3 linked regions of the Xenopus tropicalis genome follow. The protein of the gene in region 3 binds, or shares a complex with, the protein of the main gene of each other region. Links are inferred from orthologs where the notes say so. Each region holds a gene or a part of one and is shown on either strand. Other genes may lie near its edges. The genes, in order: nup93, nup160 and nup205.

Region 1 (3,653 bases), on a different chromosome or scaffold from region 3:
ACTAGAGAGAAAAGGATTTAACGGTAAGTAAATAAACCCCTGTTTCTCATACGTCCTGGCAGTCCAGACACCCTGTGTGGTATGGCCTAATGAGTATATGAAGATCATATTGTTCAGTTAAAGGTGTTGTTTACCATTAAATTAACTTTTGTTGTAAAGAGGGATATTCTGAGACAATTTGTAACTGGTTTTCATTTTATATTATTTGTGTTTTATAAGTTATTTTAGCTTTCTATTCACCAGCTCTCCAGTTTGGATTTTTGACAGCTATCTGGCTAGGGTCCAAATTACTCTAGCAACCAGGCAGTGATTTGAATGAGAGCTTAGAATATGAATAGGAGAAGCCTGAATAAAAACAAAAATAATAAAAAGTAGCAATAATAATTAAATTGTAGCCGCGCAAAGCAAGTTTTTTAAATACTGGGGTCATTAACCCCATGAAAGAGTCAAAAGTACAAGGCAAATCATTCAAAAGGTAAAATAAGTAACAACTGAAAAGCTGCTTAGAATTAGCCTTTCTATAACATACTAATTGTTAACTCAAAGCGCAGTGCTCCCCAAGCAGTGGCTAGTGAACATGTTCACCAAGTATAATGCCAAACAGGGCCTTCTGTAGGCTCCCAGTGCACATAGGGGCTACATAGCCAATGATAGCTCTTACTGTCACCCCCAGGAATCTTTCTCATGCTTGTGTTGCTCCCCCACACTTTTTCCATTTGAATGTGGCTCACAGGTATAAAAGGTTGGGGATCGTTGACTTAAAGGTAAACCAACCCTTTAATACTGCACTGTAGGATGCAGCACCACTAAAATTTTGCACATACCAAATGTAATTGTTTTCTAGTCTAAATTTAGCAAAACAGTAAATATATACTGTATATATACACACATATATAAATACATATATCCACTGTTAAGTTAGTTAACCCCTAAAATTTCTTTGACAAAACATGTCATTTACCCAAAATTTGCCTATCCCGGCTATTAGCAGATTTAAGGACATGTAAACCCCACACACAAAAATGTAATTAGTGAACAGCCTCTTTAAAATCTTTCAATACCTGCCACACTGGTTGTCCAGGGGTTAATAGTAAGGCTGCAACATTCCCTTAATTACTTAGATTTGTTCTCCTCCTGTAACCCACTCAGCCCCCTCCCTCAAGAATTTGCTTTGGCTTGTGGGCATGCTCAGTTGTTCTAAGCTCAGATTACTAAACATGCCCCCCAGTCTAGCAGCCAGCGAAGAGATGGCATTGCTGGTTCCCATAGAAACTCAGCTCTAGCTGTCTGCTTCAATTTTTTTTCTCCCAACCAACTCTCCTGAACTCAGCTCAAACAAAGCAGAACTTTTATCAAAGACAGTTGTGCCTGTGTGTATGCCTGTATTCTTGAGCCTGTAATCAGACGAAAAATGGCCACCGGGTGAAAGCTGCTATTTGGTTTAGGAAAATGTGATGGTGCTGGCAAGCACAGGGGATATATGCAGTACAAATGGGTGAGGGGGATGTGCCCAACTGATATACATTGTAGGCAAATGTAGCCTTCACATGTTCTTTAAGGTTGCACAACCATTCTATTTATTTAACTTGTCTTTTTAAGACTAAATGGACATTCCTCACCATTTTCTCTACCATTTAAAGTAGATAAGGCCCCTTTACCTGGATATCCGTGTCTTTAACAGGTTCCAAAGGCTCGAATGTTGTGGCTGCACTAAGACTCTCAAGCCTCTGGGAAATGTGAGAGATGTCAAGACCTCTTGATCCCAGCAGAACAGACCTTTAATAATTATAAAAAAGCGGTATATTTATTACTATATACTGTCCAACATTTAAGTAATATATAGAATGTTCTGAAAAAGGGAGTTTTGTACTTACCATAAAATGAAAGGCTAATAAATTGGCAATAAGTTAGGCACCCCCAATGAATTAAATCAGACTAGCGCTTCACAAAAATCCACCAGCCCCAACTTGGTCAGGCCCTGAGCAGGAGTCATTGTTTAAAGTCTGCAGGGTCTTTATCTCAATGGTTGCCTGTGCCCACCAACCTATGCAAAAGAATATATTTTGCTACACTGCCCTCCACTGTACTAAGATTTCACTCCACAACCTTATAGTCACTACTGTTCACATCCAAAACCTGAAAGCCCTTTCTCAGCACCTTTCCTCATAAACATCATCGGTGCCATGTGTAAAGCAACCACTTTACAACCTAGTATTCCTCTGTAATGTTGCTCCTAGGAAAAAAACACCACATTTATTCATGCAGCATTTATTAAAAGGGTTGTTTAGTAATTGCTACTTGAAGCTGTGCTCAAAATGCCTGTAGTAGATCTTTCAATTACCATGATCAGAATTTTTTTCCAAAGTTTGCCTGTATTGCGATCATCATCCAAAAATAACTGGCCTTATGGGATGAAACCCAAGCTTCTTTAGCAAAGTTATAAGTTATCAAAATACCATGTGACAGTCCTTAATCAAAAATAACTGGTACTTACGCTTTCACATTGGCTGACTCCTGAGAAGTGCGAGTCATGGTTTTGGAGCGCAACCTCTCACCAGCCTGCTGGATCTCCTGTAGGTTCCTCTCTACATGAGGTAGTTCAGTAACTCCTTCTGTTTCTGCAGCAAGCTGCTCAGCCTGCTGCAGAAGCTCTCCAAACCCTTCTCCATCCATTGTCACAGGAGATCTGCAAAACAGAGCATATAGAGTATACTATTACAATGCACTTCCAAACAGGCTTTATGCCCAGTAAAAGCAATGCCATCAACTTGAGAAGGTTATATATATACCTTCAAATTGATCGCCACAATTCCAGCTTCAGAGTTCTGGCATCTCTGGATGCCACCAAAGCATTTAACTTGGTCAAATAGTCATATTTATGGAAAGTATTTGAAAAATTAGGTATAGGTATCATTTTTTATTTCCTCGATAACCTATGCCATAATGGTCCACCAGTCCCCTAATATCATCGGGCTCAAGTGTAGGAGATTGGATGAAAAGGTAGCTTTATATGCAGATGAAATCCAATTACTTCTGGAGGTCCGAAATGTCAAGCCATGTTTTAGAACTAGCAGAAAGGTTCAGCGTATTAAAGGAAAACTAAACCCTAAAAATTAATATGGCTAGAAATGCCATACTTTATATAATAAACTGACTGCACTGGCTTTAAAATTTCAGCATCTCTGTAGTAGTAATGACATAGGTCTTTACAGGAGCTCCTCATCTTGGATTCTGTTAGATCTGTCTGGGACAGTGCACATGCTCAGTGTGCTCTGAGCAGCAGTTGAAAAGTTTAGGGGTTGCTGCAAATTTTCAAGCAGAAAATTAGGTTTGTCATAGAAGCTGATGCTACAGGGCTAATTTTTCAATTAGATGCAATTGCCCTGGTTTCAGATCAGCCTTTTACTGTTAAATTTATATTTTTATTTATGTAATATATTTTGAGCCGGTCCCTAACTGAAAGCAGCACAGAGAATGTGCAGTGAATCAGCAAAAAAGAAGATGGGAAGCTACTGGGCATCTTTGGAGGCACTGATCTTCCCTACTAAAAGGCTGTGGTCGCCTTGGGCTGGTACAGAAGGCCAAAACATAATGTACAACATTTCTGCCCTAATTCTTTAGTTAGGCTTTTGTTCTCCTTTTAGTGGGCTCAC
Region 2 (3,653 bases), on a different chromosome or scaffold from region 3:
AAGTCTGAAAACCACTGATCTGCTTGTTTGGCTATGTCACGTTACCTTATGTTCAGTGACATTGGAAATTATTCACTGACATATATTTACTTTAATGTCATATTTTTTTTTTCCCCCCAGGAAATCATTTCAGACAGCCACATTCAATCAATATTTACTGACATTGGGAAGACCAATTTCCACGATCCCAACAACACCTATGTGATTCCAGCTATTCCTGGACGAGCCCCCAATTCTACTGCTTCCACGGCATGGCTAAGCAGCGATGGAGAGGCACTGTTTGCGCTCCCCTCTGTTTCAGGAGGAATTCTTGTAATTAAAATGCCTCCTCGTGACATGGAAGGTACTAGTGATTGCCTAACATTTTATTTTTAAGAATATGGAAAGGCTTTGATGAAATAGAATCCTTGGACAGCGCTCCCTCCCCACTCCTGAACAGTTTCCCCCCCTTCACCTTTTGTCTAAGCCTTTCATTCACCTATTTCTTTGGGCAATATTTCTTAAAAAACAAACTTGTAGAATACTAGAGAGTGGACCTGATAGACAAGGAAGTACACTAAACCTATAAGCTTATGCCTGGGATGTTAATGTTGTTGGGCCATTTTGCTTTTGGTCAGGACTATCATTTACATACCTAGAGAATGGTGTGAGTAAGATGGCCACATTTTGTTGTACCTTAGGTGTACCTGCTGTACTTTTGGGGGCATAATTTTATGTTTCTATATGTATATTTCCTTTTTTCATGTTTCTGTAGGACTTGTGACCATTGCAGAATTGAAACAAAGTTCTGTAATGCAGCGACTTCTCACAGGGTGGATGCCTTCATCTATACGGTGAGTGATGTCTTGGTGGTCTCACAGGTTGGATATATTCCAAAACTCATTACAGGGATTATATCCTTTTGCATCAGTCTCTGCAACCAGTAGAGCTTACAATCTAAGGTTCATGTTAAACACACACACACTATAGTCAGTTTAATCAGGTGATTGCTATTACATTTACAGGACTAGGGAATATTTTCCTTTTAACAGTTGGTTGCTGAAATCATGTAGGGATTACATGGCACTTTTACTACTATGTTCATTGGGGGCATTGGGTTGTATCCCATATAAAAAAAAAAGTAGTAACTGATAAACTGTTGTATGGTATTGTGGCTCTCAAGATGGTAATTATGAATTTATGTGCCTAGAGGTGACCCGGGTCCGGCGCACCTTCCTGTAAGCCTTGCAGTTCATACACTTGATCATGATTCCTACCTCTTCGCTCTGTGTCAGGATCATAAACTCCGCATGTGGTCATACAAGGTGAGATTTTTTTAAATTATTTTGAGATAATCTGTGGTTTGTACAGATGGAACAGTCTTTATAACGGTATTTGGCATGATATTATAATAGTGATGTGCAGCAAGCCTGAAACCTGAGCGGTTTGGGCCAAAATGTCTGCACACAATGCTGGTTCAGGTTGGCTGTGGGTCATACTGTTCTTGCAATGCCCATAGTACTGTGTAAAACTGCTTTAAGTTTATTGCTTCAAAAATCCCAGCTTCTCCATCTTCACTGGCTCACTAGATTATACAGGTGCCATTGATATGCAATTACAAGATGGGTGCTGGTCTGACCAGTGGCAACATTTTGGGGTTAGGGTCAGTTCCAGTTGAGTTGTTCCTGACCCTCTCAGCACTATATTGAGAGTTGGTGTGGCTGTGTGTGCCACATGACTTAAGCCAGCCTCTTCTGAATTAGATCATTTTATTGTGTAATTACCCTTAAACATATTAAGATTTCATTATCTTGCTAAAACTAAAAAGACATTTAGAAAAAAAAAAAAAATTTTAAGCAGCTTTCGATTGTGACTTTATAAAAATGTTTTCGTGCTTAAAGAGCTTGTGTTACATTGTTTCAAAAGCCAGAGCCACCAGGGCAAAGTATAGAAAAGGACAGACAAACATTGATTTTCATAGCAATAATATATACAAATAACTTTAAAAAAACTGTTACAATTTTGTAATGATTGTATATTACAGAGTTGCTTAGAATTACGTTTTCTTTTTGAGTTGACATGTCCTTTAATATGAACTGTGACCATTTTATATATTGCGAACATCAGACGTCATGGTCCTTTACTTTTCCCTGGAGCACAAGTGCTTAAGAAATGAGGGCCACACAAAAGTGGCCATCTAACAAGCATCTGTGCCCTGAGGAAAGCTGCACTTTGCATACTGCATTCTGCAACATAAATGACCCCTTCCATGTTTTTAAGCTAGTTAGAAAACACAGCATAGAAATCTGGAGGCCTTGACGACAAACCTATAGAATTCCAAACAAATGATTAATAAGCCTGTATCATAGTTAAGGGTGGTAGAGATTAGCAGTAATACTTTCTGATTTGTTGGTTCTATTGTAACTTTCTTTTCTTTCTGTAATTTTTTTTTTCCCCCAAACAAAGCTAAAGCCTTTAAAAAAATAAATAAATAATGAGCTTTGGTGCTTTATTCCCAGGATCAAATGTGCCTTATGGTCGCCGACATGTTGGAATATGTGCCAGTTAGCAAAGATATCCGTCAAACAGCTGGGACAGGACACAAACTGCGGCTTGCCTACTCAGATACATTAGAAATACTTTACCTTGGGGTATATTTGCACACACCCAGACAAGGACAGGTAAATTGGAATCCGGATATTCTTTAATTATTGCAGGGGTCGGGAACCTTTTTGGCTGAGAGAGCCATAAACACCACATATTTTAAAATGTAATTCCGTGAGAGCCATACAATATGTTGGGCTGCGGGGCAAGGTAGGGTGGGTGCCAAGGATGAGGAGGAGGGCGTAGCCTGCGCTCGGCGGATAGAAGACGTGTTTTGAGGCTTAGAACACGTCTTCTATCCGCCAAGCGCAGGCCACGCCCCCTGTTATTTTTTTTATTAAAGATTTGGCAGAGAGCCAGATGCAGCCATCAAAAGAGCCACATCTGGCTCCCGAGCCATAGGTTCCCTACCCCTGAATTATTGTCTTGTCATTTTTGTGTCCATAAGTTCTGTCCTATTTCTTGTGATGCTATTACTGTCCTGTTATTTGCATTGCATCCACAGATCTTGGTCAGGCACAATGGTTGGCTATTTCTTCTTGTCTCTAATTAGAAACTCTCAAGTAGGCTCCAAAGTTTTTAGTCATGGAACTTTCTTTTGTGCCAGTCATGATGGGAATTAGATGTTGACTTACTTTAAGGTGGAAGGACTTAAAGGGGTTGTTTGGGTTAACTTTTAATACGTTCCAAAACGGCAACTTTTTAATTGGTCTTGATTTTATCTTTTATAGTTTCTGAAGGGGTCACTGCCCCCGACAAGCAAAAAAAAACTATAGCTCTGTGAGGCTACAATTTTATTATTATTGCTACTTTATTGACCAGACGTAAATTGGACCATAGCAACCAGAAATAGTTGACCGTTTTTCCTTTTGTCCCTTTTCCTAGTTCTGTGTATTCCAGTTGGTGTGCACGGAAAGCAATCGCTACAGTTTGGAGCATACTTCCTCAATATTCACTAATCAGGTAAGCAAGTTGTTAAGAAAACTCCCCCAAAACAGTAAAATAGCATTTGAAATGGATTCCGACTTCCCGCTTCAGCAACGCCTTAAGATCTTTTCGGTGTCACCGTT
Region 3 (3,653 bases):
TACACACACACAAACAGGGCCGCCATCAGAAATCACAGGGCCCCTCACAACAACATTTTCTAGGCCCCCCCCTCTCCCACCCCTTGCCCCCCAGTAGCCCCTCCCCTAGTGACCCATCCCATCAGTACAAAGGACACAGACATTGGTAGCCAGGGCCTCCTAAACATTGGTAGCCAGGGCCCCCCTAAACATTGGTAGCCAGGGCCCCCCTAAAACATTGGTAGCCAGGGCCCCACTAAAACACTGGTAGCCAGGGGTTACGTTTTGCATTGGTGCCAGGGCAGGGACCCCCTAAAACATTGCTAGCCAGCCCAGGGCCCCCTAAAACATTGCTGGTCCTACCCCAGTGTCCTCATATTATGGCCCAATTCCCACTGCTTCCTCCCGCTCCCCCCAGCATCCTCCAGCTCCCCAACCCAGCATCTTCCAGCTCCCCAACCCAGCATTCTCCAGCTCCCCCACCCAGCATCTTCCAACTCTCCCCACCCAGCATCTTCCAACTCTCCCCACCCAGCATCTTCCAACTCTCCCCACCCAGCATCTTCCAACTCTCCCCACCCAGCATCTTCCAACTCTCCCCACCCAGCATCTTCCAACTCTCCCCACCCAGCATCTTCCAACTCTCCCCACCCAGCATCTTCCAACTCTCCCCACCCAGCGTCTTCCAACTCCCCCACCCAGCGTCTTCCAACTCCCCCACCCAGCGTCTTCCAACTCCCCCCACCCAGCGTCTTCCAACTCCCCCCACCCAGCGTCTTCCAACTCCCCCACCCAGCGTCTTCCAACTCTCCCCACCCAGCGTCTTCCAACTCTCCCCACCCAGCGTCTTCCAACTCTCCCCACCCAGCGTCTTCCAACTCTCCCCACCCAGCATCTTCCAACTCTCCCCACCCAGCATCTTCCAACTCTCCCCACCCAGCATCTTCCAACTCTCCCCACCCAGCATCTTCCAACTCTCCCCACCCAGCATCTTCCAACTCTCCCCACCCAGCATCTTCCAACTCTCCCCACCCAGCGTCTTCCAACTCTCCCCACCCAGCGTCTTCCAACTCCCCCCACCCAGCGTCTTCCAACTCCCCCCACCCAGCGTCTTCCAACTCCCCCACCCAGTGTCTTCCAACTCCCCCCACCCAGCGTCTTCCAACTCCCCCCACCCAGCGTCTTCCAACTCTCCCCACCCAGCGTCTTCCAACTCTCCCCACCCAGCGTCTTCCAACTCTCCCCCCCAGCGTCCTCCAGCTTCCCCCCTCCCAGCGTCCTCCAGCTCCCCCCTCCCAGCGTCCTCCAGCTCCCCCCTCCCAGCGTCCTCCAGCTCCCCCCCTCCCAGCGTCCTCCTGCGATTTACGTCACGTGTACACACGGGGCGCAACCAATGGAAGTACCCGCTGACCACCAATGACAGGGCCCGTAATTCTTTAAAGGGGGCCCGAGCTAAAAAAAAAACCTGTATCACGGCCGGGCCCCCTTTAAAGCCAGGATCGTCCGGGCCCGGGACAACTGTCCCCCCCGATGACGGCCCTGCACACAAATGGTGGACTTTCCCTGCTGAAAGTCAAAGACCCAATGGGAATGATGCAGACCTGTTTTTAGAATGAACTCGAGCAGATTCCTGAGAATCATGTGAAGGGAGGAGTCTCCAATGGATGCAAAACCAGCGGAGAGGTTTTCTGTCCCAGGAGGGGCAGCGAATGAGCCGTCCAGCATTTGCACATATTGCGACTGGCCCAGCCCAGCGGCAGCCATCGGCTGTTTCAGCTCGGTACGTACAGATTGGCTGAGATGAGTGGTGAGGGTGAAGACTGCCCCGGCGACAATGGGCATTAGTTCTTGGGCAGCGTCGTCGTCGAGGATCTGGAAGGAAGGAGAGTTGGGAATTGCTGAATCACCACACAAGGAGTGGGGTAGAGAGGGGCAGCGGGTAAGCACAGAAGCACTTTTGCAATTGGTGATTGGCTTTTTTTCAACTGGCTGTAGGTAGAACAATGAATGTTAGAATTTGATTGGTTACAATAGGTTACTGCCCATGGGAAAATTTGCCCAGTGTTGTTAAATGAGCCCCGGTCTCTATCCCAACGGACAATCTCTGCAACTACGCAGACCCCAGCACTGGGTAAGTGGTTCGTTTTAATTTACAATATCATATGAAGGAAATGTAAGGTGATGAGGTTACCTTATCATGCAGATCTTGCAGCAGGTCTCGTATGATGAGCTGTCTGTGCTCAGTCGGAATGAGGTCCTGGGGACAGGCGGTCAGTATGATCTCCACAAGTTGCCGCCATGATTCCAGCGCATGGCGTTTGGCGTGGAGGCACTGCAGCAGCTTGTTCCTTTCCACCACGTACTGAAGGATGGTGTTGATTTCCTACACAAACAGGGGACGCAAGAGACACTATAACCAACAAGTCTGTAGCCAGATGCAACGGCTACTTGTCAGGGGGCTGTAAAGGTGGCCATACACGCTAAGGTCCGCTCGCTTGGCAAGGTCGCCAAGCGAGCCGATCTTCTCCCAATATCCCCACATACGGACGGGCAATATCGGGCTAATTCGGTTGTTTGGCCCTGGAGTCAAACGATCAAATTAGAATGAAGGGTAAAGGCGTCTGTCGATTCAGGGACCACATCAACGAGCCGATGCAGTCCCCGATCCGACTGATTTTCAAACCTGCCTGGTCGAGATATGGACGATTTCAGGCCAGATATGGGTCAGGCAGGCCTGTGGGTAGTGCCCATACACGGGCCGATAAGCTGCCAGATCAGTCTAAGGGACCCATATCAGCAGCTAGAATCGGCCCGTGTATGGCCACCTTTAGCCAAGCAGCTTTGAGTGGCAGATAGAGTATACTCATTGCTTATATATCAGAAATGCACCCAAGTACTTAATGCCAGGTACATTCTGCTATAACGCAATATCAGTGCACCATTGGGGGCCTATTTATCGTACTGTGTAAAAAAAAAATGGCGGCCAAATACAAACATCACCAGGCATCTCTGCTAGAAGGGGATGCGGTGCTAGTGGTGGGGAGGGGGAACATGTGCTGCCCAGAACCGGCTAGAGAGGACCTCCGTTCTCTGCATGATCCCCTGCAAGGATCCCTAGTCTCACCAGGAGCTGTGATCTGGGAGGCTTCTACCTGTCATAGAAGGTTAGATGGCCCTGGGGTTATTGTTCCTGAATTGGGGGTTAACCCTCTGATCCCTACCCCAAGTATTGCCCTAGCTGTCACAACTACTCACTGACCAAGGGGCTCCTTTCGTCAAGTCTCACTGGAGACCTTAGGGTCCGACCTCCTGTAGACGGGACTCTTGAAAAACTGGTCTTAAGGTGGCCATACACCTTAGACCGATTAGGCAGTTTATTGGGCCATGTAGGGGCACAAACGAGGGGCCTGCTCGACCGATATCTGGCCTGAAATCGGGCAGCTATCGATTGGGCAGGATAAAAAATGTAGTCGGATCGGGGACCACATTGGTTCGTTGATGCAGTTCCTGAACCGACTGCGCCTATTACTGGCGTTTTAATTCGATCGTCTAGCCACAGGGCCAAACGACCAAATTAGCCTAAATTCACTCGATAGGTGGGGAATATCGGGAGAAGATCTGCCAACCGACCAGATCTTAATGTGTATGGCCACCTTTAGAAAGAAGGTGCTATG

What was found.
Region 1: nup205 (region 3) and nup93 share a complex: the UniProt entries of both Homo sapiens proteins name them as parts of the nuclear pore complex. The link is inferred for Xenopus tropicalis from reciprocal best matches to the Homo sapiens genes NUP205 and NUP93.
Region 2: nup205 (region 3) and nup160 share a complex: the UniProt entries of both Homo sapiens proteins name them as parts of the nuclear pore complex. The link is inferred for Xenopus tropicalis from reciprocal best matches to the Homo sapiens genes NUP205 and NUP160.

What each region holds. Positions count from the first base shown.
Region 1 is NC_030680.2:43,618,595-43,622,247, reverse strand, and holds part of nup93 (nuclear pore complex protein Nup93), read right to left. Parts: intron 2,687-3,653; 5' UTR 2,674-2,686; coding exon 2,495-2,673; intron 1,777-2,494; coding exon 1,659-1,776; intron 1-1,658. UniProt on the Homo sapiens protein: Plays a role in the nuclear pore complex (NPC) assembly and/or maintenance. May anchor nucleoporins, but not NUP153 and TPR, to the NPC. During renal development, regulates podocyte migration and proliferation through SMAD4 signaling.
Region 2 is NC_030680.2:15,984,058-15,987,710, forward strand, and holds part of nup160 (nuclear pore complex protein Nup160), read left to right. Parts: intron 1-120; coding exon 121-343; intron 344-754; coding exon 755-833; intron 834-1,189; coding exon 1,190-1,304; intron 1,305-2,498; coding exon 2,499-2,660; intron 2,661-3,468; coding exon 3,469-3,546; intron 3,547-3,653. UniProt on the Homo sapiens protein: Functions as a component of the nuclear pore complex (NPC). Involved in poly(A)+ RNA transport.
Region 3 is NC_030679.2:6,626,903-6,630,555, forward strand, and holds part of nup205 (nuclear pore complex protein Nup205), read right to left. Parts: intron 2,363-3,653; coding exon 2,171-2,362; intron 1,852-2,170; coding exon 1,581-1,851; intron 1-1,580. UniProt on the Homo sapiens protein: Plays a role in the nuclear pore complex (NPC) assembly and/or maintenance. May anchor NUP62 and other nucleoporins, but not NUP153 and TPR, to the NPC.